Nothobranchius furzeri: one gene and its partners. The protein of the gene in region 7 interacts with the protein of the main gene of each other region in a biochemical or structural test. Links are inferred from orthologs where the notes say so. Each region holds a gene or a part of one and is shown on either strand. Other genes may lie near its edges.

Region 1 (4,560 bases), on a different chromosome or scaffold from region 7:
ATTTAAGGGACGCTATAAGACCCTAGTTGCTCCAGCAAAGATTAATGGAGTTGTTTAGCTGAAAAGAAGGTGCCCAATTTTTTTTCGCAAAACAGGCGGCGAGGATTTTCTGTTACACAAAAACCTGTATCCAGTTACACTAGCCTGGTTTGATATATTTAGATAAAAACAGCTTAATAAAGCTTTTTTTTTGTATTTTATAATAAGAGACACTGTATCAAAATATATATTTACCATTTTCAGCGCCCAAAAGCCCATTCTGAGGATTTGAGACCTGGAAGCAAAAACAGGTTATTATTTTCCAGCTTGAACAAACCAAATTTACTAATGATTCAGGGCATCACAGTCATTTTCCGAGACCTAAAGAGAAGTACATTTGGTTCCTTATGTTCCATAAAGTTCACTAAAACACACCAAATACAAGTAAAATGATTTAAAACACAATTCCAGCTGATTCAAACCTTTTCATTGTTTATTTTTTATAAATAAAGGGACTTGGGAATCAGATTGACAGGTAAAGTTACAAGCTATGGTTTGTCATATAATCACAATAGCAAGAAAAAAAGAAGGAGATTGCTTACAGCTCTACTTTGTTTGGGTCCATTTAGTTGGATGCTGTTGACAAATTCTACTCCTTTTTCTGCCAACAAGAAGCTGCATCTAATGGGGAAGAAAGTTACAGCAGCATAAATAAAAATGTCTCCATAATGAATTTTTATTGCCAAGAAAAGACAGATGTTTCCTCTAACCCTGGGTAGTATTTGGCGTGTTGTTCCCAGGGGTCTTCCCCAGGCTGCCAACCTTTCAAACTCCCACCACAACTGAAACACATCACCCTATCTCCCATTCCTGTAAGCACAAATCAGATGTGTCAAAACAAAATCAGAACAACGATATAACAGTGACTCATTTTTGTATGAGTTTTGTCCACAGATGACGATGGCGCTGTACCTAAGCTGTAGAAGCCCGCCGTGGCGAGACTCTTGTGGTCAACAGGGAGCTGGAGACCAGCAAAGCTGCCAAGTCTCCCCTCAAAACTCTCCATGGAGACCTGAGAACTGCTCTCCTGAAGCGGCACATTCCCCACATCATGCCCAAGTATGAAGAAGCAGTTTGGATAATGTTTGGAATGTTCACTCCAAGCATTGTCTTCTGGTTCCCAGTCACTCAGCTCGCCACCACAACAGAAACACCGCACTCGGTCAGCATTCATCAAATAAAAGAAACCAGCTTGTGCCAGGTCTCTGGGTCTCATAAGAGAATCAACGGGCCACGAGGAAAAGGTCTGAAGGCGGGCTTCCTCAGACGCCATCTGAGGGGCTTTAGGGTACATGGTGTCGTCAGTCACGGCTCCAGTTAACAAACGATACTCCATGTGTTCTGCAGCCTCGTTGTAGCCATTAGTGAGCGGGTTATGAAAGCTCGGGTTGAAACTGGTTCGGTGGCAGCATTTGAGAAACAAGCACGTTGGAGAAACCTGTACCAGGAAGAGAGATCATTATTTAAACCTCTAAAGCAGAACAAAAAGTCACAATCGTTCAACACTTTGAATCCATGATCTACCTCCTTGTGCCGCTCCACAGGCGTGTCATCGCTGGTCCAGTTCTCCACAGTCTTCTTGCAGCTGAAACAGCGGACGCGGTCTGCGTTGCCGGTGAAGTAGAAGCCTGCTCGTGCCAGTCGTTCAGCTGGAACTTGCTCAGCCAGGATGGAGCGGCGGAAGGAGTTCAGGCGATTGTTGAGCAATGAAAAATCCATAGCACCATCTGATTCCAGATGCTCATTTTCTTCATTATCACACATAATTGAACTAGGACCTTCCTGGATAGATACAGCTACTGAATGTATGAAGTCTGAGGAGAAAGACAAGCAGATTTGAAGGTTAGTCAAAAGTCCTAAATGTACTTGAATTAAAACAACAGGGAGCTGGTTTGAGCATCCAGGCTAAGCCTTTGGGAGAGGCAGCCAGGCTATAATCACATGCTGGTGCTGGATACTCTGTGTGAGGCATGGGAACAGGAAAGGCGGTGCAAAGGGCGTAACCTGATACAATCTACACTAAAGCAGCATTCCTAAATAGATTATACACAACAGTGACAAACACTGATAAAGTATTTGCTGTAATAAGGAGTCACAGTACATGCTGTACACGGGCTAATGACCCAAGATCAAAGCACGCCAGCTAAGAAAGCAGGATGGGGGGAATAGTTTTGCCACCTCTACACTGGCACATGGAAAATGTGTTCTCACAACCCAAATACTCAGAAAGCCCACTACATGGTGGAGGCTTAGTCCTAAAACTGTAACATCTAGTATGATTTTATCTGAGATGCTTTATTGATGAGGATCAGCTTTTGATCTTTGCACTGTTGTTGGCAATCTTTATAAAAAAAAAAAGTAGTCACCATGATCACGAGTGTGTCACAACTTAATGTGTGTTTAACCGTATGACAAACATGCACAATTTACGATACTGCACCATGGTGCCTCCTGGCATAATATAAAGCCACTTCTTTAAATGGCAAATATCTAAAACGAAATACAAATCTGCAGCCTTCTTTTTTAATTACAAATGCATCAATATTGATTTTAAAACTACAAATCCTTCCAAATAAATAAAATATATTTATTATAAATGAAGTTTGGTTTAACTCTGATCTATTCCAGTTCAAATGTCAGAACTGTAGAATCCTGGTAGCCCTTAATGTGGCTCAGTACACATGAAGTAGCTCTCTATGCTGGTGACCCTTGCTTAAACGTGGATGCTCGAGTTACCAAAAGCTAAAAACTAGCCTATATTATTCAAGGACACGCATTTCAATAAGCCTGCATTCTAAAAATAAACACATCAGCTGCTTTGATGTAGGTGCGTAATGTCGAGATAGTGACTTTGGGTTTTGACAGTTTGCTAAAGTGTCAGTTAGCTAGCTTCGTTAGCTTGTTTGCTAATTTGCGCAGTTGCCTAAATCGACCGTAGCCGGAAAACTACGGTATTTACCTTCACGCGCCCCTTTTGGTTCCGGTCTTCAGCTTGTAACTTTAGTCTGTCTTTAGTGTGAACTTGACCTGGAGCAGAATAGGATGATTAAAGAGCTCAGTTTGTTTTATAAAAACTATGAGGAAGCGAAAGCAAAGGGAGGAATCTGGGAACCTAGAACATTTGGCCCCGCCTCTTCAGTCACATGATCAAAGTACGCCCACGTGGGTGTTTCACAGAAACATGCCGTCTACTATCAACTGCCAACATACTTTAGGGTTGCCTAAATATGGTCAGTAACCAGCAAAAAGCGTTCATTTAAAATTTTAATGTAATCCCATCATGCACCTCAAACAATGTCTGAAGGTCATAATCTTATACCTACAATATTAGTGACCATTTTTAATCAGGATTGTTAGGACAGTGGCGGTCATCTCTTGTTTTGAGGGCCTCCATGTTTATCTGAGGTTTATCTGCTCTCTCACCTGATTGTATCAGCAAGTAATTGAAAGGTTACAGAGCTGCTGAAGAGGTGATTCAACCGATGGACCTGGTGTTGGAGCAGAGAAACTCAAGGCACAGGGTAGGGACTGATAATACAACCTGCATCTGTCACCAACAGAAATAAATGCCAGTGAAAGCTAATGGGATACATAAAATAACTATACTCTTTAACAGTCATATATCAACCTGAGATAATTTTCCATATTGGTGATTATGCATGTCAACTTTTTGATTCAAACTAAAAGTTGCCGTAGTAGTCAAATAAAACACGAGCATTGGTCTGCCCCATGCATTTCCAGTAAATCGTTAGGGATTTTTTTAGGGGGTGGGGGTTCACAGGTATTCTTATAATTTAGAATGGAGAAGATACATTTTCTATCTCTGTTATGTTATGATCATCTTCACAGATACATATTTTCTAAGAAAACATAAACAGCATAGTTTGAATGTGCCTCATCAAGTTTAGCTTAGCTGTAACTTTACTCAGAAACTACCTGTGGTATAACAATAACTTCATAAACGATCACTTGGTATTCTAAAACCCACTCCAGTCAGGTTTTTGTTGAATCATCATTATTATGATGTTAGGTATGATCAGTCCACTTTTTCCGACAGGTGTGAACCAGCTGATTTTAGAGTTGGTTTGCATACGGCTGCTTTGAAAAGGGGTAATCTGTGTGAAAATGGCATGTTTTGTCTTTAGGTTTGGACCTTACAGGTCAGAGTTGTGTGGAAAGAACATTTTTCATTGTCAGGCATGCCAACATCTAATGCTTAAATTCAGAACGCCTGTTGCTCAAAAACTAGCCCAAAGACAATAAATCATGCTTGATTGGAAAGGGTTACTCAAGTTCTGCACTTATGCCTTTTTCATTTGAGTTCTAAATTGGATTATAATAATATAATAATATAATAGGATTGTTTAGAAGATTATTTTCCTTATTGTTTATGCTTGTTAGTGGTTTTAAAGAGGTTCTTAAAACATAGATAATGTTAACATTGGTGGTGCTGAAACTTAAACCATGTGTGCTTAACTCTCTGATGGGTATTTTAGGGGGCCAAAGACTGGCAGGCTTGGG
Region 2 (4,489 bases), on a different chromosome or scaffold from region 7:
ACTGTACTAGACCCAGTCAGTGACAAGTTTAAAATGCAGTAGCCACAGTTCTGCCACAGGGGGCAGCACTAAGACATTTTTAGACCTAGATTCTAGATCTAGTCAAGTTTACACAAGCATGTCAAAAAATGCACAGAAACAGAAAGATTGCATTTGTAAAGACACAATTATACAGTTAATTAGCAAAACTATTTTTGGGGGGTTTAGTTACTCTTTAAATGTCTTGCCCAAGGACACAACAGCAGAGACCTCTGTCCGGGTCCAGGACAGAACCTGCAACCAGTCCTCAACCTCCTGAGCTACTACTTCCCTTGAAGTGCACTCTCAGCTCCATTTTTGTATTTTCATGCAAGACGTGGGTCAAAGCCAAGATGGCAGTGGTGGGAACTGCCACCAGGCTTCAGATCAGCTATTCAGAAACCTGTGTGTGACGTTTATTACAAAAAGTCAGTAGTTTTTGCAGCGTTAGCTCGGTGCAGACCCAGCAACTCCAGGCTCATGTATAGTAAACTACAAATACATCCCTCTTTAGATGTTTGAAAGGAGATAAACCGATAACCCCCGCCGGCTGAGAAAATAACCTCCATCTTTCAGTTCTTTTTAAAACACAGAAAAGGTTTATTTACCTCCAACGTTTCGTTTGCGGCTGCAAACATCATCAGGCTGGCACCGATGGTGGCGTCATTTCCTTCGTTTATCCGCGGGCAGCAGTTGTAAAAAGAACTGAAAGATGGAATTTGAAACTAAACACAGCAAGAACACACAAAAGAAGGAGAAAAAAATCTGTTTTAAATGTAACCTTCCTTCCAACATGAATGAGACATTAGACTGTTTTGTGATGATTTCATTGTAAATTTGTTACATATTGCTCCTTTAAAGTAGTGAAGGGATTCCACAAAAACTCAATAAAGGCACAGAAAAACTTAGCTCTATGCCAGGGCTGATGGGGAAAGATGAATCACATAATTATTTAATCAGATTAACACGCATTTAGAATGTTTTACTCATAAAAATGTTCAGTAAGTACATATTCGTGACTGTACACCTTGTGTTTAATAATGTAATAGTGATTTTTTTTGTGAATGACCCAACAGAATCAGCCTGAGCCTGGATTATCCGGGTTTATTAATTTATTAATACAATCTGATTACGGTAATCTGTGGCGCCTTCTGACAGGTGGTCTGGAGAATATTCCTCTCAAGTCGGTGCTTTTCCGTCTCTTTTTCACTTATGAGGTTAACTGTAACTAGTAATCCTGGTTGGGGTGTTTTTAAACTTGTGCGCAAAGGCGAAGCTGGCTCTACCGGGTGGATCTCCGGTATGAGGGAACAGTGACCTCAAACCCCGCAGCGTCCAGTCCCGCTCACTCCGCCCCTCTGCAGAGAACCGGAGCCCCATTCAAACTAAAGTCCGCGCCCCGGGATGCCACAGCGGCTGTAGAGGGAGATAACGGCGGCTACGGCAGCAGAAGAGGCAGAAACACACCCTTTCACCCAAAACCAGCCGCATTTGAGACGCCCAGCCGGGCTCAGTCAGCTAACAGGAGGCTAACGGCACCAACATGGCGAGCGCCTCGTACCACATCTCCAACCTGCTGGAGAAAATGACCTCCAGTGACAAAGATTTCAGGTAAATCTAACTCCAGACGGGTAGCTTTACATGTTGCTTATTAAAACAAACTCAAAGCGTTTCTTTAATAATTAGATTTAGTCAGACGCGCTGTTTTTGTGCGGATTTCAGGCATCTGTCAGGAAGGCCTCAGGCTAGCGTGCTGCTAGCGAAACAACGCTAACCTGCTGGTTAGCGGTCTGCTGAGGTTCGGGTCGGCCCGACAGCGGGTTTATACGGCATTAGCAGCTGGTTAGAGGGATAACCTGCTAGTTATAGAGAAAACCTGCTGCACATGGTGATGATCTGACACCTGAGTTGCACGGAAACGGTCGCTTGTTAGCGGCTAACCTGCTTGTAGCTGGGTAGCAGCCGCAGCGAAGCGTGCTGTTAGCGGCGCACTGGAGGATGTTTACCGAGGTAAAGTGACCAGGTGAGGGCAGGCAGGTGTCAGCTGATGGGGTTCGTGTTTAGGTGGTGCAGATGTGACTGTCTGGATGATCTTCAGCTCATCAGGATGGACGTTTGTTCACATGAATGTAGCTCAGAAGGAGCTCTAATTGGTTTCTTCCGCTCTGTTTATAAACTTCTCGGTGACTAATCAACATCGCGCGCTTTACTATGATTTGTTTGCCTTCTACAACAGAACCTTCGGTACAAACACACACAGTCAGTTACTAATTAGGAAAGAATCACCAGTGTTTATGGCACAGTACGTTTTGAACTACATTATCCAGCAATTCTGTCGTGCGCGATGCATTCTGGGTAGATGATCACGTTACATAGCAACGGGCGGAAGTGATGGTTCAGATGTGTGAACTGTACTGATGATGATCGTAAATGATGGTTCAGTCGTACTCCCCTAAACATGTGACCAGTTTAGTCACAGATGGACCTGAGAAAACCTGAGGCTGCACAGGTGTGACTCGTCCTAAAGAAGCCTGACTTGTACTCGTATGTCTGCGTGGCTTCAGAGACACTCAACGTCATGATGCATCAGCGTGAGGGCTCTCCGACAGGCTCGCAGAGGCTGGAGCCGTGACCAACTTTTCAGCTATCTGTTGAAATTGTCAGAGATTTCAAGCTTGTGATTGGTCAGGACGCTGCTTCCTTTAAATTAGTCAACAGCACCCCCATCGCCCCCTCAAAAAATAATGAGAGCTGAAGATATTTAGTGGCGAACACAGAACAGATTGAAAAACATCTCCGTCGATGCGTATGCAACTCCACACTCGAGCTGACGAAGAATTAGAAATGAGCCTTAATGCTGAAAGTCTCCCAGTGAGACGCGTGTTAGACCAGGGGTATTCAGTTCTGGGCCTGGAGGTCCAGCACATTTTAGTTTTAACTCAAAAAACCTGATTTCAATCAGCAGGTGATTAACCGGCTCCCGCAGAGCCTGATGAGCTGCTGCACAGGTAACTCAAGTGTATTGAATCAGAAAAACCACTAAAATGTGCTGGATACCAGACCTCCAGGAGCGGAGTCGAATACCCCTGCGTTAGACTATATGATGGTCTAAACCAATCAGAGGGAGTGATGGGAGGGGCCTCCACTCTGATTGGCTGGATCATAGCCAATCATGCAGATTAGGGTTATGAACGGACACATGGTTTAGGAGAGTAAAGGAAAGGTATGATTGTAATGTTTTTGTCAAGTTGAGCAGTCTGGAACCCAGCAGGAGCTCTGGCACAGAACCATCAACCTCCGAGGTTACGAGTCCTCATCAGGAGACAACATCGGATCATGAGCCACACATGAGCGGCTCTGATCTGGAGTCCCACAGCCTGTGAGCGGATCAAAGCAGGAAATGTTGACATCATCAAATTAAAAGGTGAAAATGGACAAAGCACGTAAAAAACGCGTTAAATGCTGACGTAGGTGCTCCTCCTCTTCCGCCTTTCTGCAGCACATGCAGTGTGTTGCTAGCATGATGATGGAATACAAAGATAGAAGTGAAGATTTAGTTTAAAGTTTCACTCGCGTAATACATTTTCAGTGGTCTCTAGTAGGAATGAATGCCTTGTAAGTTGTACTCTTGAGGAAACAAAGCTCTAGTGCGCCTGTTTCAGGAACTAGAAGTGAGCCACATCTGAGCTGAGCTTCTGATGGCAGGATTTGGAGTCCTATTTCCTGATATTTAGGCATCTCTCCTCTGATTGGCTAAAGCTAGGCGTACAGTGTATGACTTTTTCACTTTTGTGAGCCGGTTTTCCCCTCGTACGAGAATCTAGAAGGTCGGGGCGAGTTTTGTGCTGAGCATCGTGTAGTATACAGGAGGCTACGAGAGGCGATTAACACCACATGACCAGGTACCTACCGGTCAGCAGTCGTACACTCAGACACATTTCTGGCATATTGCATATTTAACTCGTCCCTCGTGAGGGTATCGGACTGTTAAAGCGGCACTGCGACCCAAAAAGTACCAGAACCGCTCACGGCACATGCGTGAACATGCATCAACACGGCTCACCAGCTATGTCCTTATTAACACACTTCAGTCGTTTTTATTTATACACTTTTTTCGCACACGATTACATGTGCTGGATACCGGAAAGCGTGTCAAATGAAACTGATAAAACATTGATTTACTTTCTTTCATCTCCCTCCTCCAACCCCATAAACGCTCTTGAGTTCTCTACTGTGCCCCCTAGTGGAACACTCCAGTACTAGGAGCAACGCTGCAGCAAGTGTGTGAACAGCGGTTAGGGTTACACTGCTTCCTGCCTGCGTCAACGCGAGGCTACAAAGTTCCTCGCCCAACATTTGCACTGCGGTGCCTCGCTGCTTGTACCGATACTAAATACTGGTCTTGGTTCTACGTGGGTCCAAACGAGCCCAGCGAGGGGGACCAGAGCCTTTCTGAGAGGACCACAGTCCC
Region 3 (4,585 bases), on a different chromosome or scaffold from region 7:
GATATGTTATAAAATGACTAACATCGGCCGATACCGATATCATTGCCGATATATTGAGCATCCCTGAAATGAACTGTGATAAAATCTGTTTATTGAGGAGATGATTTTTCTCTTTGAATGAAACGCTTGGATCTACACAAGCACTTCACACAAATGCATGTACAATCACTTTTATATGTATTATTCCAGAAATCAGGGCACACCGAGATGCACGGATCTACACTTCCTACCTTTCCAACGGACTGAAGTAGAGATTCTACGTGTTTAGAAACAGCTGCTGCATCCTGCATGGCCTTTTCTCTGTAACTGAAAAATAAAACACACAAATAAAACAGGCTATCCCAACACGAAGAGGCAGAATCAGATTCATCACTGATGCCGGTTTCCCAGAAACGAGATAATTAATGAAACTCCTCACTCACACGTTCTGAAGGTTGATGAACTTTTGAGAATCTGCGATCATGTCTGGAATGGATCCACGAACGGGAAGGCTTCCGCTGCCTTCGTTGTACACAAACTCCTTCACAGCTCGCAGCATCACCCAGAAAGATGAAGACTGAACCAATCCAGACAGGAAGAAGCAACGGATTAAAACCTCATTAGTAGTTTACAAACTTTAAAGTGACTGTGAAAAAAACAAAACACCTGCGCTGTGATATTGTTACACTGTTCGCTATTGAAGAGGTCTTCGACCGAAGTGGGAACCTGCAGAAACAAAGTTAAGTTAAGACAAGACTTCTCCTGAAACTGTGACTCGTTTAAAATCCGACACCTTGGTTGGATTTAAAGCAGTGTTGACATTCTTGATGGCTTCCTCAAAGTTTTCCTCATCCTCTAGGCCTCCATTCTCATTCTTCAGGATTCCTACCCAAAACAGAAAGTTTTAATCCCTGACAAACTACATTTTAAACTCTTTGTATTTATATGCAATTACATTGCAGCTGATCAGAGATACCTTCCCGAATTATCTGCCTGAAGGCCTCCTTTTCCTTGTAATTTTTGGGTGGCTGGCCATCGTGCTGCAAGAATTCACGTAATGAGCTGATATAACACTCATAAATGAATAACTGAGCAGAAGTGTTCCCCCTTACCTCACTGAGCCATCTCTCTAGGTATTTAGCAACAATGATAACCCATGGTGTGTGACTGTGGTCCTACAGGACACATTAATCAAAGAAAATCATTAGTTTTCTGCAGATGCAACACTAAAAATCCTTGAAATTGCAACTTGAAGTGCAGCAGACCTTTTTGTCCATGATGGAAAGGTTGTAGGACTTTATGTGGCTCTTAAATTCATCAAAAGGCCGATCTAATCTTAGATCCTCCAAGGCATTGTCCGGGTGAGATTCAATCACTAAAGAGTAGCAATAAAATGAAAATATGCAAAAACACCCTAAACTATAATACTGATCACATGGACAGACGTGTGTTAATAAAGGCAAAACAATATTGCGTTATGAGTAACATGAGTATACATTGCTAGTTTGAATAACACACCTGTGTGCTCCTGCACCATCAGTCTCATGTAGCCTATGAGGCCATATGCTTTGCAGATTAGAAACGGTACAGATGCACTCCATAGTACCATGCCGAGTCTCAAACAGGTGCTGTTCAATGGTAGAGAAAAGTCAAATGCTTTTTTTGTGGACTTTAAAGTAAACTGAAATATTTCAGCTGAATGAAGTGATTTCTTGCACCTTTCTGGCAACTGGACACCAATGACTATTGTGAATCTGTGGAAAAATTCTGGATCATTGTCCAGAAGTTTGTCTGGACTCTGAAGGAGACAGGAAATACAATACTTTTCATGATCAGAGTGCTGATAACAATAAACATATTGTAATATTAACACAGCAATCTTGCATCATCAACCCTGTAGTATATGCACACATAGAAATAAACTTCAGTAGGAATCTAACAGCACAAACCTCCTCTACAAAGTTTCCAGACACGTCACTGTTTAGCTCTTGCAGTAGTTCAGTGGCAGCCTGGGCTCTATTCTGCAACAACAAAACTAAAATAAGAACTCAAATAACAACAATCTCACTCTTGATTATTCCACATAACCACATTTTGAATCAGCATAAACAGATTCAGGGTTGGTTACCTTTCCAATGCTATCACTGCTAAGGAAAAAGCTGTAAACACAAGATTGAGCAGTCAGCTACATGTGGAATAGCTTATTTTAGCCATGGATTAGATGATAAAATGAATTCTTACTTGTTTCCTGCATCTTCCCCAGACACTATGTGTCCATCAACAATAGTAAACGCTCCGATCCCTGTCAAACAGAGCAGTTTTCCAAATCAGACAGATGTTTCCATCAACACCAGAACTTTTTTTTGATCCATCATCTGATTACCTGGCAGGACCAGGTTCTTCAGGATCTCTGTTCCAGTTGCTGTGGCGTTGATGAGACATACATGTGCATTTTCCAGAGCTTCTTGTCCATGGTCCCCCCACAGTCTGAGGAGACAAACAATAACACAGACTGCATCTGAAACAGCATCGAGATTCCCTGATATTTTGGTAAATCACCGTCAGAAGGATGCGACTAAATAGCAGCTATTAGGCAAACATCTTTTGTGGAAAGTCAAATCTAAACATTAACTCAAAGTAATAAAATCTATCACCTAAAAGCAAACGATGTTTACCCGAAACATCACAAAGAAAGCTAAAGCTAAGTATCGTTAGCACTCTAGCTAGCACTCGGCTGTACCCATTCATAATAAATATCCCCTCTGTTTGGCTGAAAGCATGTCATTTATTAGAGAAGCCTGTGATGTTAATACAACCTACCTGAGCTGCCTGTCGTATTTTTGTTCTTTGGAGTCTTTGGTGGCTGCCATGGTAGCTTTTCAATGAGTGACGTTGTTGACGTATTTTTAACTTCCGCAAAGACAGATTCGACACGAATGTGGGCGCGCGAAGATCCCTATGCGCACTTTCGATAAAAATATTAAAGGGATGCAATGCCATGTGATAAAATTATGTTTAATTAAAAAACATAACTCTACTACTACTACTACTACTTCTAACATAACAAAAATGTATTTTCTTATTATTTTTGGGATTTTAAAGTTTAAAAGAATCCTTTGCAGAAAACAAACAACCCAAAGCGGCATGAAGTCAAGTAAAAAAGTAGCCCGAGTGCGTCTTGGAATGACCCTTAAAAAACTGCGCAAAAACTTTGAACGAAATAAGCTACTTTAAAGAGAAATATTTTTTAACAATGCAGAAGGGGGGTTCAAATAAAATGTAACATGCTAAAATGAGTACATCAACTAACACACACATTTATTTATCAGTAATTCACTCACCCCAAAAAACAAAGTTATACTAACACATAAACCTTTGATTAAATTTTTTTAGCAGAAGACCAAATTTATTTTCGTGTGGGGTGTTTCTTCATTTAATTATGATCATTTTCTAATTAAAGCAGAAAAACTTGCGTGAGAATGTAAAGGGGCGTGTCCTCTGAGGATAATTCCGCCCCCCTTAACAAACTTTATTCGATCGCGGCACCAGCTGATCTTGTGCCCGGCAGGTGCCTAAGGTGCTCTTAACAGGACGCATCGTTTGATCCGTTTTTACCACAAAATAAAACATGACAGGATGCAACTGGGGCTATGGAAAAGAGGATGGTGAGTTTAACTTTCTTCAGACTCTTTATGCAATATTTAGTCTTTATTTATTATTTTCTCCACGTGGGAGGAATCCCTGCATGTTTGCTCTTGGCCATTTAAGACTTATGTGAGTGTCAGATTAGCACAGAGATTTAAAGGGCAACTGCTGTAAGGTTAATCTGGCTATCTGTTTGAGTTTTACCTGAACTTGTGAAAGCTGAATATTTGTACCCAAGGGCAAATTATAATTGTTTGAATACTTAGCATTCCTGAGTTTTCCTTACTTTGTACACTTTATGAGATATAGAGTATTTTATGGAATTTTTCAGCTTTTATAATACATGCAAAATCCTTCACCTCTTTTAAAATATGTATCACTCTATTTGATATTTAGCTACTTTGGCATACTTCCACCTAGAAACTCAATTTAAGTTTGAAGTTGTCACAAAACATTCTGCTATTACTGTATCAGCATCTTGATACCTTTAACCATTTTTCTAAAATCACAGTTTAACTTTTAGATACATTTTGGGACCTTTCAGGAAATTTCACCACAAGTATAATGGAACATATAGGAGCTTTGACCCTACTTTATACAATTTCAGACAGAGTCCTTGGAGAACTGTAGAGACACACTGGGTAATGATAGCTCTGTGTTTTGATTCCTAATTAATTAACCTACTCAAAAGATTCTGGATGTAGGAGCATTTTTCATGCTTGAGTTTCCTGATTTGTTACATCTCTCCACTCTAAAGCATTTTTCCCCCCAACAACACCATGCACTACCAAGCCAAAAATGGCTTGGTACATCATGGGTTAGCACAGCTCACCTCAGTGTAGTTTGTTTTTCCTGCCAACTTCGTGACAAAAGGTGAGTGTGCTTGTATAGCCACAGACATATATGCAGATGCCCCATGGACTGGCGCTGCCTATTGGAGCTGCTGTAGTGGCTGGTTGCC
Region 4 (3,054 bases), on a different chromosome or scaffold from region 7:
AGCTATGACATCTGTCTTTCTTTGTACCATTCCACAAATTCATCCAACAAAACTGGCCCTGAAAAAAGACAAGACAGAGAACCATCATTTCAAATGTGGACTCTGATGACCCACCTTATGTATAATGAAGTGTTCACTCACAGGCCCCATCCTCATCGTAGTTACTAAGATCCAGGTTGATTGTCCTGCTGAACTCTAAAACGTTGCACCACTGGTCTTTGTTGATGACTTTATACTTGGATTGCTGAGAAACCAAACAAGCACCACAGATTAAGGCAACAGCTACTGTGTGATTATCTTTTGCTGCATGCTCACCTCTAAAAACTGATTGAAGACAGGAAACAGAGGCCACGTCTTCCCCAGAAGAAGTCCCAGCATGCACTTGGCTGTGTTCAAGTCCAAACTCCTCTGATCTTTTTCCTGTCCAGTCACAACTCACAAGACTTAATAAAAAACAACCACTTTAAACAAACCTTGCTTTATTAATAAAAGTAGATCAGCCACATGCACTAAACTAGACGGATTTCAGAGCCCATCGTTTATAAAATGAATTTCTGTAAGCCAAAACTGGGGTTTTATACCATATTTTACATTTTTATTTCATCTATGAAAGCTGCATGTCTAATATAGGAAAAAAACTGAAGGTAGATTTGATTAGCTAAAAATATCAAATTTGATCCTGAGCTACATTTCTGCTTAGTTTAGGCTATAAGTTAAACTGTGTGCATGCGGCTCAATGGTTGAAAGAGTTTTTTCAGCGTACCCGAGCAAAATCAAAGGCGTATCTGTAAATGAGCTTAAAACTGGTGCCGTCGTTCAGCACAGATCTCAGGTAGTCGAGGGAGTTCCTCAGCCTCTCGGTGGAATCGCACCTGACAACAGCAGAAAATTACCCCAGACACACTTCAACGCCAAATCCACAGAGAATCACAACCGCAGAGGAAGTAGAAACTTTTTCTCAAAGAGAGCAAATGTAAGAGACAGTAAGTAGCTGACATACTGAAGGGAACCCATGCCTCGTAGCCACTCCTGAAGAGTAAAATATCCCATACTCTGGGCATCCAGTTTCCAAGCAAGCACCAGCATCACCACCTGGGCATAAATAGAAGATGTTACAGCAGGTATGTCCTACCAGGTTCCTGTCAGGCCTCACTGACTACGTTTACATGCAGCCAATATCCGGGTTATGATCGGGTTAAGGTCGGTATTCGGGTTTCTGAGTTGATCAGAATAACCCGTTTACAAGCATAAATAGAAAGAGTTGCCCCTAACTTGCATAACCCGATGTAAATGCGGACGTTGGGGTAGCGTCAGGACGTATGGACTACGTCCAGACGCAATATGCGTCATTTCCGGTTCTTCTTGTTCCGGTATCTGTGAAAACAACAACATGTTTCCCAGTTCGGAAGAGATAGCGACCGCGTTTGTTTGCGCTTTAGTGCTGGTATCGACCCACCAGCAGCTTTTACGACTGTGCGTACTGGCCTTCATTCGAAGGAGAGTACGTGAGCAACTTGTTTACTTCCGGTGTTCTGGCGCGTACACGACGTCTCGCTACTCAAAAGACCAAGATTTCTTGCGAACAGAGCATGCGCAGAACACACGCTTTGATGGGGATATCCCGGTATGCGTTTACACGACCAAACATTCGGGTTAGAAAAGGGTTACCCCAGGTGTAGTAACCGGGTTTTTGGCGGTGTTTACATGGACCTGCGGAACCGGGTTATTGTGAATATTCGGGTTTCAAAAGGGTTACTGGCTGCATGTAAACGCGCTCTGTGACCGCTGAATTAAAGACTGCAGCAGTGTCTTTTAAAGGTCCAAAGGAATCAACATTTATTTTTGCACAAATATAAACCGAAACAGACTTCCAGGCAAGGTCAAAGCAGACTGCTGCCATATTAAATAGAATCTGATATGCAGGATTTCATTGGTTTGTTCATGCATTATTTCATAAGGACATTTTTAATATTTCTGCCATAATAATCATGTAATGCAAAATTAACAGCTGTCATTTTAGGAGCATGAAGCTGGTGTCAGTGAGCTGCTGGAGGCACCAGCGAGTTTAAGAAGAAGAAGAAAATATCATTTCTATAGCGCCTCTCAAGATAAAAATCACGAGGCGCTTCACAAAAACAAAAAAAAGTAAAAATATTTAAAAAAGCATTTAGAAAATGTTTAAAAATATATTTAAAATGGGCAAAAATAGGCAATTGGGATTTAAAAGAAAAAATGTTAAGAAAGAGAGAGAGTGAAGAGGAAAGAGGGAAATCAGTGGATCCTGAGGAAGGTGGAATAGGTGGGGAGAGCAGAATAAAGAGAGAGAGGTGAAGAAGGTCATACAAAAGCCAGCTTGAACAAGTGAGTCTTCAGCTGCTTTTTAAAGGAGACCACTGAGTCCACTGATCTCAGGCTCAGGGGGAGAGAGGTCCAGAGTCTGGGGGCCACAGCAGCAGATGATCTGTCACCTTTGACCTTTAGCCTGGTGCTGCACAACCAGTAGGCTTTGGTCACTGGACCTCAGGGACCTGCTGGGGGTGTAGGGACTGAGAAGATCACCAATGTAAGATGGTGCTTGTCCATGTAAGGCCCTATAGACCAGAACCAGGATCTTGAAATGAACCCTGAAGTTGACTTAAGGGGACTTAAACCCCATAAGCAGGTTCAGGAAGGCCTCTACTACAGGTAAGATTGTAATTATTCATCAGAGATGAGAACTGTGGTATCAACAAGTCATCTCCATGCCGTGTTTTAGTTCTGCTCAGCAACTGAACTAGGTTCATTTACTGTGCTGATTGAAATCCCCTGGTTTAGTTGCTGAGTTGAAGAAAAACATAGCATGGAGATGACTTGTTGATGCCTCAATTCCCCATCTCTGTTATTTATATATAGAAACACATTCAAAATGGTCAAAATATTCCTTTAAAGGCCCCAAGAAGAAACAACATAATCAACAAGTAATACATCTTTCAAAAATAAAAAATAAAGGCAAAAAATGGGTTCAGCAAAAAGGTTTGACCAGACATGGTTCCTGGGACGGGCACAGTAATCAAG
Region 5 (4,589 bases), on a different chromosome or scaffold from region 7:
CTCACCTTGTGATGAATGAGACACAAGTTCTGGGATTCTTCTGGACTTCTGGCTCTGCTGCTTTTCCATGTTGCAACTTGAAATGATCCTGTGCAGTCTAATGACTTCACGAGGCACATGAAAGCCGTCCCAATGGTCAACAGCAGTGGCTAACGGGTCCGGTACCAGAGAATGTAGAACACTCAGACATACGGGAGGCTTGGTGAAAGGATGCATGAGGAAGCAGAACAATTCTGGCTCATCCCTTTAGCTATGCTGCTGGAGGACACACTGACCACATTTCCTCCCTCTTTCTGCTGGGTTTGGTTCTGCTGGAGGTTTTTTCACGTTAACACCATCATTCCTCTCCACTGTTGCCATGTGCTTGGTCAAGCTGGGGCATCATATAGAAAGGAATGGCTGATGCAATCAACAGTTTTTAATGGCTTTAATAATTGTCTAGGAGACTGAATCATATTGTATTGTTATTATAAATGGATTAAAGTAGACGGTTTACATCTGGATATGAATGTGACCTGTTTAGTTCTGCATGGTGCTCTAAGTTGACTTTTTTATGAAAGTTAATCAAAATGTAATCATTCTGGGACATTGTCTTTGAGTTTAGTCCTGGTGTAAATTACTTATTGTTAGTAGTAGTAGTAGTAGCAGTCAGAGGTGTGGACTCGAATCACATGACTTGGACTCGAGTCAGACTCAAGTAATTATTTTAATGACTTCTGACTTGATAAAATCTATTAAGTCTTACGACTTGACTCTGACTTGAACGCCAATGACTTGTGACTTGAATCGACTTGCATCTGTTGACTTGAGCATTTTTTATATTTCAGCACAAAGTGGCACGACACGGACAAAAATCATAAATCACTCTTGGTTCTGGGTTTGATTTACTGCAAAATGCAGCAGCACTTTATAATCAGTTTCAGTTGCACTTTCTGCTTGTTTGAGCAAATAAGCGAAGCTTTAAGAAGCTTTATTTCTGGAATTTATTTATTATCATTGTCATTAAATTGAAGTTGGACAGATGACTTGATTATGACTTGAAAATTCAAAGTTAAGGACTTGGACTTGACTTCGACCTCCAGATAATTGACTTTGGACTCAACTTGGACTTGGTTGTCTTTGACTTGGACATGACTCGAGACTTGACTGGAAAGACTTGTGACTTGCAAAGCAGTGACTTGGTCACACCTCTGATAGTAGTACTAGTGTGTTTTACATTGATTTCTTGAATTCCTGCCTTTACAGTAATATTCAAATAACCAACTGAAGTTTGATTATGGCCACTTGTTGCCTTTCAGACGTTTAAAATCATCCACATTTTGTTCTTAGAAGGGATCAGTAATTCGTCGATGAATTACTTGTTATAAACCTACAGAACATGAACACTAGTGATGCCAAAGGTGTTTTTATAAGACAGCCAGGTGAAATGATGTAGTGAGATATCAAATATTGTGTTCGAGAATCATGTAGCATTAAGATTTTCGAATTACAAGAAAGAAAAAGAAATCCAACCGCGTCTTCACGGGCACGCGCACCCTCTTTCGGGCTCGAGCACGTAGCCGTACGTGAGCTAGCTAGCTACGTGCTCGAGCCTGCCCGAAAATGTTCTCCCGTGTTGTTGAATTTCGAAGGAGCGCAGGACTTTGCGGCCAAATAAGACGTTCTTCTCCGTGAGGGAAACAAAAACGAAGCGAATGGTTGGCCTCTGAAATCTTCCGCGGTGCCATTTTATGTTGGTGAAGGAGAGTTTTCGGCCGACTTCGGGGGGAAGTTTGTGTGAGCCTTGTTACCGGGAGTGATGTCGAATCCTGGGAGTCGGAGGAACGGGTCCAGCATCAAAATCCGACTGACAGGTAAGAAAATAGCGAGCCAGCAACAATTCCGCTCACACGGCAGGCTGTAACTGGAGCTTAAATATTTTATTTACAGCTCTTTATTGTACATTGTCGGTATAGTCCAGCCTAACTTTTATGTGCTGCACTTGCCTGTTAGCCCGCTAGCTTGTGGGAAGATCTTAGTTACCGCTGACCGTTGCAGCTTGTTAGCTACACCCATTTTCCTGTTGAGTGACCACCAACCCAACCCGACCGACTGGGTTACAGTAATAAAGGCGACTGTTCCTCCGCAGCCTCTTTAAAATCGATTGATTGGTGGATCTGTGACACGCTAGCCCAGATTACCACGGGCTATCGATCGCTGTGTGGCTGCTGTGTCAGCTGCGGTTAGACTCGCTGAACTTATCCCGACCCTGGGAAGTTTAAACATGTTTCCTCTTTAGGGATCAGCTCGTCTGAGATGTTTATTCCGTTTTGGTGCTCGGGTCTCCTCGCAGGGCTTGTCGGAGTCCCTTTTCTCTCACACAGGGAGGGATCCAGCTGGAACAATGGTTTTTACTGTAGCTAATGTAACGCCACTAGCCACCGAGGGGCCTCTATTCAAATGGAAATGACCTCTCTGCCTCTGGGCAGACACTCTGGCCTTCCAGTGACTCAAAAGTAAACAAAAAGACAGCTCCATTTCCCTTCTGGGCGATCAGAACAGAAAAACTAGTGGAAACATGCTGGTTATTTGTGGCTTTTAGTTTCTTTCTAGCCTTTCTTGTAAGCTGGATTTGAAGCAGAAATTTGTGTTGACACACTCATCTCTTCACACAATACTCAGAGTACAGGTTTCAGCTTCAGTCTATATGTAATCTAGCCAGGAGTAGAGTAGGGTTGGGCATCGTTTGATTTTGAATGATTCCGATTCTAATTCCAATTCCTCGTTTCGATTCCGGTTCCTATCGATTCCCGATTCCGATTCTTTCAAGACATTACATGTTTAACATGAGCTAGCTAACCACAGGTCCTATGAAATAATCTTAACTTCAACATGAATTTTAATTCTGTGAACAATAACATCACCTTAATTTAGTCAAAAACTTGTCCTGGCCCAGGAGGACGCCCCAGCTTTGTGTTTTTAGTCTAAAACAACAGATTAGGACTGATTCTATCACGGTTTTTAAATTGTCATTGAAGGAACCGAGATCAACCGTGTTTGTATTTACTATGTAAAACACCTTTACCTTTCATCAGGCTTCCGAACCGTAGCTTTTCCAGTTTGACCAACCAGATAGGAGGGTTGGGGGTAAACGATTATTTTTTAAACGATTATTCTGACGATTATTTTATTGAATAGTCGACTATTCTAAGCACTATTTAGACGATTAATCTAACAATTCTTTTTTTCATTGCACAATTAATAAAAACCAGAAAATCTCAAATAAATTCCTCAAAAAAATTGATAAGTTGTTACTGTAAGAGAATAAACACGCAGGCATTCCATTTTGTATAACACAGCTTTTATTGTGTTGCGGTTGGTTTTGTTCTGGTGACGTGTAGAACTTGGGAGTGCAGGCTGCTGCCTGAGAGGTGTTTGAAGACGGAGTGTCTCCATGCTGCTTTGTTTTGGTCACTTATGTGCGTGAGGCGAGTGGTGTTACGACCCTTCCTGGGGAGTTTGGCTCGTGTGCAGAAAGGGAAGGGACAATAACACAGGATTTAAAAGTTAAAATGATGATCAGGTTTATTTACAACTCCAAAAAACATAAATCTTTCCATCCACAGGTTGGGAATAATAAAACGAATTCTGCCTGTGGGGAATTAAAATAAAAGTACAAATAACTAGGGATGTCCCACTGGGCAAAGATTACTGGGTTCTGGACCGAAATAAGGATCTCCAAAGGTCCAAACTCTAAACTGGGCGGTTAAGCCAAACTCAAGGTGATATTTTAAACTAAACCGAAAACCCACAACACTCTAAATGTAATAAAAGGGAGATCTGCACCACAAAAAAGATGAACTCTAAACCAAAACGTAACAGCTTATCCAAACGCAAGAAGCTGCTAGCGAAAATGCTAACAGTAGCTTTACCAACGTTAAGTTCAAGTTACCGAGTTTAAATAAACCAAAAACACCCAGCAAACAGACCAGCACGGAGGAGAGACTGCTACCACCAAAACAGCTCTCCTAATGTCTGAAAGAAGCTCCTTTATGAAGGGAGAAACGCTCCCGGTGATTTTCTACATCTGCGCTAGAGACGGAGCAGCGCATCTGACCCCGGAAGTTGTTGTCCGTTGCCGGGAGACGAAGGCGGGCAAAACAGGAAAGGAATCTTGTAGCGGACGGACCGGGTCTTGGGTATTTGGCGGGGATTTTAGTGAAGGCGGAGAAGAGGGCAAACTAGAGGAAAAACAGGCAGATTCCTCCTCTTTTGTGTGTTCTTACTGTGTCTAGTTTCTAATTCCATTTTTGGTTCTTTTTAAAACACAAGAAAGGTTTCTTTTTACCTTGCTAACGTTTTGTTTGCCGACTGTAAACGAAACGTTAGCAAGGTAAAGAGAACCCTTTCCTGTGTTTTAAAAAAGAACCAAAAATGAGATTCCTCCTCTATTTACAAACTCCTGGGGATGCAACAAGTGGGCGTGGAGCGTCGACTACCGGATCTGACGTCGACAAATTTTTAGAATCGAGCCGTCGACACCATCGACGCTTCACCACAGCCCTACCAGATAGGATGTTGAATTTGTCGTTGTTTTAGTGGTTTTCGCA
Region 6 (4,745 bases), on a different chromosome or scaffold from region 7:
GAGTGTGTGTGTGTGTGTGTGTGTGTGTGTGTGTGTGTGTGTGTGTGTGTGTGTGTGTGCATGATTGTTTGCCCTGTGTGTCTCTGTGTTGCCCTGTGATGGACTGGCTCTCTGTCCAGGGTGTACTCCGCATGATTGCCCATTGACCGCCGGAGATAGGCACCAGCCCCCCCACCCCACCCCCATCCCGCGACCCCGCGTCGACAAGCGCGCTCAGAAAATGGATGGATGAAATAATTATGACAACTCTCTTAATCAGAAGACCTTTGTTGTCATTGTGTGGGTCAGTCCTGTTCAATGATGTAACTATGCCTCCACTACATACATATGCACCGCACAGAGTTGGTCACATTATTAAAATGATAAACAAAAAGACATTCAGGCAGTTCAATCCTCAAATTACAATTGGCTCTCTAAGCTTACTGACCCACCAAGTGAATGAGGCAAAAGGTTTCCATTGATGACACACAATGGACGTAGTTTTTGTTATTATAATTTTGTTTGTTTGTTTTTTGGGATGGGGGGTGTCCCCCACACTTTTTTCAATGTAAGTTCTTGTCCTCTGCACTTTTAATCGTTCAAAAACAATATTACGCAATAGGAGTGGGAATGAAAATGACTAACAAGGTGAAAAACAAAGTTGAATTGAAAGCCGGTCTACTCTGTTGGGCTTAGAAAAAATAGAGCTGACATACTTGGTGCTGCAGCCTGCTTCCAGCCTGTTTCCTTCGTGTTTTAGATCATGAACACAGCTGATTTGTTTGATTTAGTGATAAATCGCTCATGTAGACACAAAGGAAGGCTGGGGAGATTTTCAGCAATTAAGATTCAAGTGTTAAAAAGACAAATGCACAGCAAAGAGATGTGTTTTGCTTTTGGTTCTACGAAACGAATACTAGGGGGTGCTAAAGAAAGCAAAACTGCCAAATGTGCCTTTAAAGCAGGATATGTAATTCAGTTTCTATGTCCTGTTAAACCTACTGGTGGCACTGAGTGCTGCGCTTTGAGGTGTGCATGCTTTGTATGAGCAGGTGAGAGATAAATAGGACATAGGAGACTGAAAACTCAAGCTTGTCAAAAGAAAATGGAAATAAAAACAGAAATGGAAATTATTGACTGTGGTTGCTTTTAAAGGCTCACATGATTGGCGTGTGCATTTATTTGAGTATTATTGATATTATAGTCTTTTTAGCTGTAAATTTGAAAATCTATCTAATCTGTAAAACTGCTTATTTAAAGGAGGGAAATTAATGATTGTTTCGCAGTTGTAGTCATTTTTCAACTGTGCATTTTAATAATTGTGGACTAAGAAGGGAAATATTTCACATAGCCCCACCAAGAATTATTTTCAGCAGCCGCCACTGGTGTGGGTGTGTGAAATCTAAACCAAGCTACTCAATGCAAATAAAATTACCCTCCAATTAAAAAATTAAATAAAAAAACTGCTTGCAGATGTGTTTTTTATACACTTGTACCACATGTCTTTACATTTTAAAAATGCAAATGAGCGCATAAATAAATCTGTACAAACTGTTTCCTGTTTTTCCATATCCAGTGTTTTACTCTGGAAAACAAAACAAAAACATTTTTCGACTTCCCCGGTCAAGTCCCAAACTATTATGGTGACAGAATTCGGTGTGACACCCCCGCTCAGATGGAGATCAGCTGTTGGCTGTTAGCACAGACAGAGGAAGTGATGCAGGAAAATGTCCATAATGTAGTTCAATGACTAAAAGGGGGAAGCACAAAGAAATAGGCAGCCTTAGTCCGAGAGTGGCTCTTTAACTTGTTTTAAACTGCGAACCAACAAAAATGAATTCCGATACAAACTCTGACTGCTAATCATTTTATCATTCCCTAAAGGTAGAATAGAGTGCGACTTTATTATGGAAGTTTTTTCTTTTTTTTTCTTTTGGTCAGCTGCCTGCTAGTTTGCTAACAATCTGACGACGAGTTTGCCTCAGTTCGTTACTGCTGGTATTTCGGCCAACTTATTTGCCCACCTTTGTTTTCAGTGACATTTATGAAGTGATGTACATTCAAATGACGCGGCCTACGTTTTCCTAAAAAGGTAAGCTTTTTGAGGATATTTATCTCGTTGTGTCAGCCGGAGAAGACTTAGCATAGCCGCTAGCTAACTTTTAGCTATGTCGACGTGGTCAGGGCCAGGCACTTTAGATGTGGATGTTTAAATGGCCCGGTGACGAGGATGGATCGTTGATCAGTAACCGATTAGCGAGTATTGCCCGACTACTTTAAGCAGTTTAAGCGGACTATTAAACAGAAACTGAATCAGTGTTTACATTTCATTTGGAAGTGCTGTACATGTGCTGTTAAGCTCCCTTGATCCTGATCAAGAGCTTGTCTGTCTCCAACAAGCATAACTTATTCAGATCATCGTTATCAGATGTGTGTTTTTAAACCCAGCAGCTCGTGCTCGGTGACAACATAGCTGCAGATATTACAATTTAATATCTGGGCTGCTCTTCGCCTCGGACAGTTTTTAAGACCAGCTAATCCAGTTAAATTGACGTCTGGATGTGTTACACGGTGATGCCTGTTTATTGTGGAAAAGGGGGCCTTTAGACATCCATCTGATGTCAGAGACTTGAAGTTGGCCAAGTTAGAAGTGTGGGAGACGTGCCTCTACATGTCCAGGACATTGATCTGTACTGGCAATTTGCCCCTGAAGCCTGACTCTTCTTATTAATGTATGACTAGTGACTTTATCAATGATCTGAACAGAGTTGAGTTTGGGTTTAAAAATCAAAGCTGTGTATTTTGCATTAAGCATTGTGAATTATGTTTCATTATAACATGTGAGACTCTTTCTTTGTGGAAGCAAAGAGTTGTACAGAAACCCTTCAAGTGGAGACACAGAAAGATTACCCCACTGTGTAAATATTGCACAATGACTTCTAACTGTCATTTTAGGGTATTTTAAAACTGTCCAATAATTATTTTGCAAGAGGAGAGTTTTGACTTTCTCTTTGTATTGACAAAAATAGTCCCTGCAGATTTGGGAATGAAGAGCTATTGCTTTCTGCTTATGATGACAATATAATGTGTCTTTGCAGCGTTGCTGATCTCAAGGTCACAATGATGGAGCAGAACTGAAAGACAATGCCATCTGACGGAGTGTCTGTAAGTGAAATTGTCATCAGCTGCTCTTTTATGATATAATGCATGAAGTCATCACATCATGTGTGTGTGTGTGTGTGTGTGTGGTAACCATGTCTGTTTTAGTAATTAGGTTAGTGGAAAGAAAATGATGCATTTACAGATTAAACAAACTACCAAATTGATGTTTGCAAGTAAAAACAAAAAGTGATTGATCTGGTTTTACTCATGAATTACAACCACATCTATGAGAATATAAAATATATGAAGCATTGTTGAGCATTCAGTCTGAAAAATGTTAATGGAATGTCTTTCTGATTTTAAAAAAATGATCACAGGATTTGTTGTGTCTGGGTGCAAAGTTACGTATCAATTTTTTAGAGTTTTACTGATAAAAGTTAGTTAAACAATCAAAACATGCAACAAACAGGGCTTTGGAAACTCTCCCTTTATGAAAAAGCAGGTTTGTTTTAAACGATCCCAGACTTCATTAGCGACATATTTCTAAAGCACTTCCCTCATTATTTTCACATGCTGCAACAATAATCTCAGCAACAACAAGACATGAGGCATCAGGTTTAGCTCTAACCTAAATGTAAACTGTAGAAACACTTTTCTGTTGGCTCCCATCATCACATCAGTCAAAGGATTACACAAAATGCTGACATGGCTTCAAGGGATATGACCCAAGTAATTAGCTTGTTCAACTAGCTTAAACAGTAACTACCTACATTCACGGACTGCACACAGTCTGATGAGACATCACCTACAAAGCTGTGTGGGTGGATGGAATGAAATTGATCTGTACATCATTCATATCCCTCATAACACAGATTTTTACTCTGCTCTCTTTAACACCCACCCTGCAGGAGCTGAAGACAAGCCCTGTGTGTTACAAGAGACTGTAACAATTCTGGCTCATTATATATAGGTCCTTCTCAAAAAATTAGCATATTGTGATAAAGTTCATTATTTTCTGTGATGTACTGATAAACATTAGACTTTCATATATATATTAGATTCATTACACACAACTGAAGTAGTTCAAGCCTTTTAATGTTTCTAATATTGATGATTTTGGCGTACAGCTCATGAAAACCCAAAATTCCTATCTCAAAGAAATTAGCATTTTTCATCCGACCAATAAAAGAAAAGTGTTTTTAATACAAAAAAGTCAACCTTCAAATAATTATGTTCAGTTATGCACTCAATACTTGGTCGGGAATCCTTTTGCAGAAATGACTGCTTCAATGCGGCGTGGCACCTGTTAAGGTTGGTTTATGCTTGACGCGTCCGCGAGGTCCGCACGGAAAAGTTGCGTCATTTTGCGTCATTTTAACAACCACGCCCCTCCACCGCGCCTCCGCACGGCCCAGAATTTCCGCAACGCGCACCTCGGAAAATTTCTAACCACGCGGACGGTCGGACGCGGAAAAACATGGCGGACCGGCAAGAACTAGTACGGCAGAGGTTGGTAAATACAGACATTTGTATGATTCAGCTCTCAAAGATCACCATGATCAACATGTTGTTAATAATTCTTGGAGAGAAATAGCTCGCACTGTCGGAAAAGACGAGGACGCTGTTAAAAATGCTGAAATGCCATGTTGTAAACAGTGATTTCT
Region 7 (3,971 bases):
GCTCCATTGACGGGTCTCGGTTGTGGGGCGGGTTCTACCGTTGTCTACTGGACAATGAGTGTGACATACTCTTGTTTCATTCTGTTGCATCATCCCACCCACCAGGCATATAGAGTGCCCTGATTGGCCCACAAAGCGGATATAGCTCTGTGATTTGTTCACTAAGCAGATAGAGCACTATGATTGGCCCACCATTATGAACCAATCACAGCTCTTTATGTGTTTGAAACCCCTCTAGAGAGCTGTGATTGGCCAGCCAGAGTCCTGGTAGGAGCTGTGGAGGTTCCAATGGAGCATGCCTAGACCAAACTTTGCAAAGCAAGAATTTGGTCTAGTTCACTAGGCTAGATGTCTCATGCTCCCTGAACCACTCTTTCACTATCTGAGCCTGAATGAATCCTGGCATTGTCATCTTGGAATATGCCCGAAGAAAACGTCCATCGATGGAATAACCTGGTCATTCAGTATATTCAGGTAGTCAGCTGACCACATTCTTAGAGTACATCCTGTTGCTGAACCTAGACCTGACCAACCGCAGCAACCCCATATCATAGCACTTCCCCCACAGGCTTGTACAGTAGACACTAGGCACGATGGGTGCATCACTTCATCTGCCTCTCTTCTTACCCTGATGCACCCTCACTCTGGAACATGGTCCATCTGGACTCATCAGACCAGTTTTTAATAAAGCGTTGGACAGTTCTTTACCCATTGTAGTCGTTTCGACAATTTCAGATGTTTTCTCTGCTTGATGCCAATGATCTGACCCTTCTCAAACAGACTAACATCTTTTCCACGACCACCAGAGGTGTCTTTCCACATGGTTGTTGAAGAAATGAGAAGCAACTCAGTGCACCAGTTGGGGTTAAATAACTTGTTGCTGGAGGCCTGTGCCTCTTTGCTTACTTAAATCCAGGTGGCCACCTTTTTGGGGCTAGGTAGTGTATATTCATTTTTTATAACTGATATAGATTTTTTAACTTACATTTGTGTGTTCCAGGTAGGACAGGGTTATCCCCATGACCCCCCTAAGGTAAAGTGTGAGACGATGGTGTATCATCCCAACATCGACCTGGAGGGAAACGTCTGCTTAAATATCTTAAGGTCTGTCTCTGTGTGTCGTCTGAGGTTAAGGTTTATTTAAGGCCCGGTGGATCATGTGAACCAACGGGAGCTTGATTTACATACATTTGGTTTAACAACATCAATGGTTATAACAGAAATCTCCTGATTGGCTCAACTTGTAGCAGCATCAGAGAGCCTTTGAAACAGAAAATGATACAGACCGTGGCAGAGGGGTTAGGTGCTGGCCCCGTAACCCGAGGGTTGCAGATACAAGGTCTGCTCTGTCACAGTCGTGTCTTTGGGCAAGACACTTAACCTTCCTTGCCTGATGCTGGTGGTCAGAGGGACCAGTGGTGCCTGTGCTCAGCAGCCTCGCTTCTGTCAGTGTGGTCCAGGGAAGCTGTGGCCAATGTTTAGCTCTGTACTACCAGCGTGGGAGTGTGTGTGTGCATGGGTGAATGACTGGTTGTGTTGTAAAGCATCTTGGGGGGTTGTAGAACCCTAGAAGGTGCTATATCAAATACAGACCAATTACCATGAAAGATTTCAGTGTTTTTTCTGTCATAGAAGCCTTAAATCTAAGTGGATTTTAAAGACGAGGACTTAATTAAACACAAAGTTGACGAGGATTTTGTTTGTTTGTGTCTCTGGTTGTCATCCACAGAGAGGACTGGAAGCCCGTGTTGACAATAAACTCCATCATCTATGGTCTACAGTATCTATTTCTAGTGAGTTAAACTCTGATTCTTTCACTGTTTGTTTAAAGTCAGAGTCTCTGTGAGGGAATGACTTCTAGCATCAAAATTAAAATATAATTCACTGTCAGTAAAAATAATGAGAATGCAAAAGAACAAGTAGAGGCTGGGAAATTTAAAAGCTGGTTCCGCATTCTCGTCAGAATCCCAGTTTTGGTCCAGAACTCTTGATCCAATCCCCACCTATCTGTTTTCCTTCCCAGCAGCCAGTCTTTCTTGCTATTTGTGGTTCTGTGATTCTTTTGTCTTTTAAAGGGGCCAGATCCTTGAAAATCCACTTTTTGGAGCTTGTTACCATGTGATATTGGCATTTCCTCATGAGAAATACTCCCCAAACCCTTTTTGGTTGCATTCATGCCTTTTCCTGCCTCAGCTTCAACTTTGTCCATGTAAAGATTTGTCCTGCGTCCAGGAGAAAGTAGCCCACTTGTGTCATCAGGCATCTCTCCTCCCCCTGAATCTGGTCTGGTCTTGACACAGTTGCAGCTCCCCGCTCCCCACAGGGATGGGTCAGATGCAGAGATGTAGTTTCACCAGTGTGTGATGATGACTTTAACTTTAAAATGCTGAAGCCTAAGATGCTGACATACAGAAGGTGCGTTTTGTCAGAGCGGATGGAGTTTTACTGAAATTGATTGTTTTATTTCCCCGTATAAATTCAGGCTGATGAAAAAAAATTCATATTTAAGATCAATTACATGTCAATAGTGCCAACGGTAATATTTAATCATAAACTGTGCCTACCTTTGCTCTCAAAGGCACAAGTGTCAAACTCGGGCCCTCGGGTCAAATCTGGCTTGTGGTCTATTTAAATTTGGTGCATTTACCACAAAGACTACAAATCCCAGAATGCTTTGTGACGTTAGCGACGTCAGTCGAAGCACCCCCTCCTTTTCTGTTTATAGTCATTAGCGTCCGTGCTACCAGCGTCGACATCTGCAGCCGTACCTCCTCAGTGATGGAGAAACTGAAGATCCTCCTCTTACTAGCCCAAAAATGGAGGCTCTGACTGCTCAGTAATGTTTGCGGGTGACGTGGAAAGCACACCAACCAACCTCCAGATGGAGCTAAGCGAACTCCAGTGTAGTGACAAGCTCAAGTCAAAGTATAACTGTGGCTGCTGAATAATTATACCAGGATTTTTGAGGTGAATAGTGAGTTATTATTATGATGATGATCACTATTATTATCTGTAAATATCTTCCCTTTTTTTGTTTGTTTTTATTGCCTTCTTGTGTTCTTGTATAACTTGAGTTGAACATTCATCAGTATAGCTTGTGTGTAAATTAATAACCTATAATTAGAAAAATGTTTGACCTCCTTTGCCCAGATATTATTACTTCTATGTTCCACCTAAGAAAACGCCTCTTCAGTGATTTAGTTTCTTTGTTTTATAATTTTGTAAACGTTGCATTTCAGCTTTGATGTTTTGTAGGGATGTACCGAAATGAAAATCCTTGGCCGAAACCGAAAACCAAAGCATTAGAAGGACTGTAAAATTAACAAGTCGCTGTGATGGATAGGAGTAGTCTCGGATCACGTGGTGTCTATCGATTGTTATTTACCTGTTGCGCACCTGCGTGGGAAGGCTGTTATAATGAGCTGGGGTCTCATTTATCAAACATGGCGTAGAATCCTTACTAAAACCGTACTTAAGCTCAGCAAAACAAATGTACTTACGCCAAGCAGGTGTGTGACCTATCAAACATGGAGGACGCACAGCTGCACTCAATCTCCGCTTCATAAATCAGAGACTAACGGGAATGTTTCTCAGCTGCTTTTTAGTCACATCCCGCCCTCACCACGCCCACTTACTGCCATAAATAGTCAATGCAAAGTGCCTTGTGGACCTCATGCATACACATAAGCCGGCTGTTGCAGCGCTCCGCCAATGACATGGCGACCGTAGATCAAGGCAGATCAAGGAAGCTCTATTTCACAGAAGCAGAAGTTGAGGTACCTGTGGGTGAGGTGGAGAAATGAAAGCAGGGATGGACATTAACTTCAAAACCAACCGGCCAGCCGGGCCGGTAACTCTGAATATTTACCGGCCCCACCAAGAATCTACCGGCCCCACTGGTCAGCTGCCAAAACGAGTCAAAATAATAACAGAACTGTTTTAAATGTAATAAACCTTTATTTTGTACACAT

Evidence for each region.
Region 1: the proteins of ube2m (region 7) and xiap form a complex in vitro, tested with the Homo sapiens proteins (2 studies listed by BioGRID). The link is inferred for Nothobranchius furzeri from reciprocal best matches to the Homo sapiens genes UBE2M and XIAP.
Region 2: the proteins of ube2m (region 7) and cand1 form a complex in vitro, tested with the Homo sapiens proteins (2 studies listed by BioGRID). The link is inferred for Nothobranchius furzeri from reciprocal best matches to the Homo sapiens genes UBE2M and CAND1.
Region 3: of the proteins of ube2m (region 7) and nae1, one has a biochemical effect on the other in vitro, tested with the Homo sapiens proteins (4 studies listed by BioGRID, with this or other methods). The link is inferred for Nothobranchius furzeri from reciprocal best matches to the Homo sapiens genes UBE2M and NAE1.
Region 4: the proteins of ube2m (region 7) and dcun1d4 form a complex in vitro, tested with the Homo sapiens proteins (3 studies listed by BioGRID). The link is inferred for Nothobranchius furzeri from reciprocal best matches to the Homo sapiens genes UBE2M and DCUN1D4.
Region 5: the proteins of ube2m (region 7) and smurf1 form a complex in vitro, tested with the Homo sapiens proteins (2 studies listed by BioGRID). The link is inferred for Nothobranchius furzeri from reciprocal best matches to the Homo sapiens genes UBE2M and SMURF1.
Region 6: the proteins of ube2m (region 7) and dcun1d3 form a complex in vitro, tested with the Homo sapiens proteins (4 studies listed by BioGRID and IntAct). The link is inferred for Nothobranchius furzeri from reciprocal best matches to the Homo sapiens genes UBE2M and DCUN1D3.

The regions. Positions count from the first base shown.
Region 1 is NC_091741.1:25,549,204-25,553,763, reverse strand, and holds the start of xiap (E3 ubiquitin-protein ligase XIAP), read right to left. Parts: upstream 3,158-4,560; 5' UTR 2,999-3,157; intron 1,854-2,998; 5' UTR 1,804-1,853; coding exon 1,564-1,803; intron 1,478-1,563; coding exon 952-1,477; intron 850-951; coding exon 750-849; intron 661-749; coding exon 582-660; intron 275-581; coding exon 235-274; intron 1-234.
Region 2 is NC_091741.1:34,342,415-34,346,903, forward strand, and holds the start of cand1 (cullin-associated NEDD8-dissociated protein 1), read left to right. Parts: upstream 1-1,341; 5' UTR 1,342-1,561; coding exon 1,562-1,629; intron 1,630-4,489. UniProt on the Homo sapiens protein: Key assembly factor of SCF (SKP1-CUL1-F-box protein) E3 ubiquitin ligase complexes that promotes the exchange of the substrate-recognition F-box subunit in SCF complexes, thereby playing a key role in the cellular repertoire of SCF complexes.
Region 3 is NC_091749.1:35,484,331-35,488,915, forward strand, and holds the start of nae1 (NEDD8-activating enzyme E1 regulatory subunit), read right to left. Parts: upstream 2,922-4,585; 5' UTR 2,850-2,921; coding exon 2,800-2,849; intron 2,467-2,799; coding exon 2,363-2,466; intron 2,282-2,362; coding exon 2,221-2,281; intron 2,139-2,220; coding exon 2,108-2,138; intron 2,001-2,107; coding exon 1,929-2,000; intron 1,778-1,928; coding exon 1,698-1,777; intron 1,608-1,697; coding exon 1,498-1,607; intron 1,355-1,497; coding exon 1,245-1,354; intron 1,155-1,244; coding exon 1,092-1,154; intron 1,020-1,091; coding exon 956-1,019; intron 865-955; coding exon 773-864; intron 706-772; coding exon 646-705; intron 557-645; coding exon 423-556; intron 307-422; coding exon 231-306; intron 1-230. Other genes in the region: ca7 (carbonic anhydrase 7), read left to right, coding at 3,608-3,644. UniProt on the Homo sapiens protein: Regulatory subunit of the dimeric UBA3-NAE1 E1 enzyme. E1 activates NEDD8 by first adenylating its C-terminal glycine residue with ATP, thereafter linking this residue to the side chain of the catalytic cysteine, yielding a NEDD8-UBA3 thioester and free AMP.
Region 4 is NC_091748.1:39,458,458-39,461,511, reverse strand, and holds part of dcun1d4 (DCN1-like protein 4), read right to left. Parts: intron 1,093-3,054; coding exon 1,001-1,092; intron 873-1,000; coding exon 764-872; intron 421-763; coding exon 316-420; intron 245-315; coding exon 142-244; intron 59-141; coding exon 3-58; 3' UTR 1-2. UniProt on the Homo sapiens protein: Contributes to the neddylation of all cullins by transferring NEDD8 from N-terminally acetylated NEDD8-conjugating E2s enzyme to different cullin C-terminal domain-RBX complexes which are necessary for the activation of cullin-RING E3 ubiquitin ligases (CRLs).
Region 5 is NC_091752.1:65,321,534-65,326,122, forward strand, and holds the start of smurf1 (E3 ubiquitin-protein ligase SMURF1), read left to right. Parts: upstream 1-1,603; 5' UTR 1,604-1,798; coding exon 1,799-1,853; intron 1,854-4,589. UniProt on the Homo sapiens protein: E3 ubiquitin-protein ligase that acts as a negative regulator of BMP signaling pathway. Mediates ubiquitination and degradation of SMAD1 and SMAD5, 2 receptor-regulated SMADs specific for the BMP pathway.
Region 6 is NC_091756.1:31,620,964-31,625,708, forward strand, and holds the start of dcun1d3 (DCN1-like protein 3), read left to right. Parts: upstream 1-1,686; 5' UTR 1,687-2,071; intron 2,072-3,077; 5' UTR 3,078-3,144; intron 3,145-4,745. UniProt on the Homo sapiens protein: Contributes to the neddylation of all cullins by transferring NEDD8 from N-terminally acetylated NEDD8-conjugating E2s enzyme to different cullin C-terminal domain-RBX complexes and may play a role in the cell cycle progression by regulating the SCF ubiquitin E3 ligase complex, after UV damage.
Region 7 is NC_091745.1:29,845,931-29,849,901, forward strand, and holds part of ube2m (NEDD8-conjugating enzyme Ubc12), read left to right. Parts: intron 1-1,000; coding exon 1,001-1,104; intron 1,105-1,729; coding exon 1,730-1,793; intron 1,794-3,971.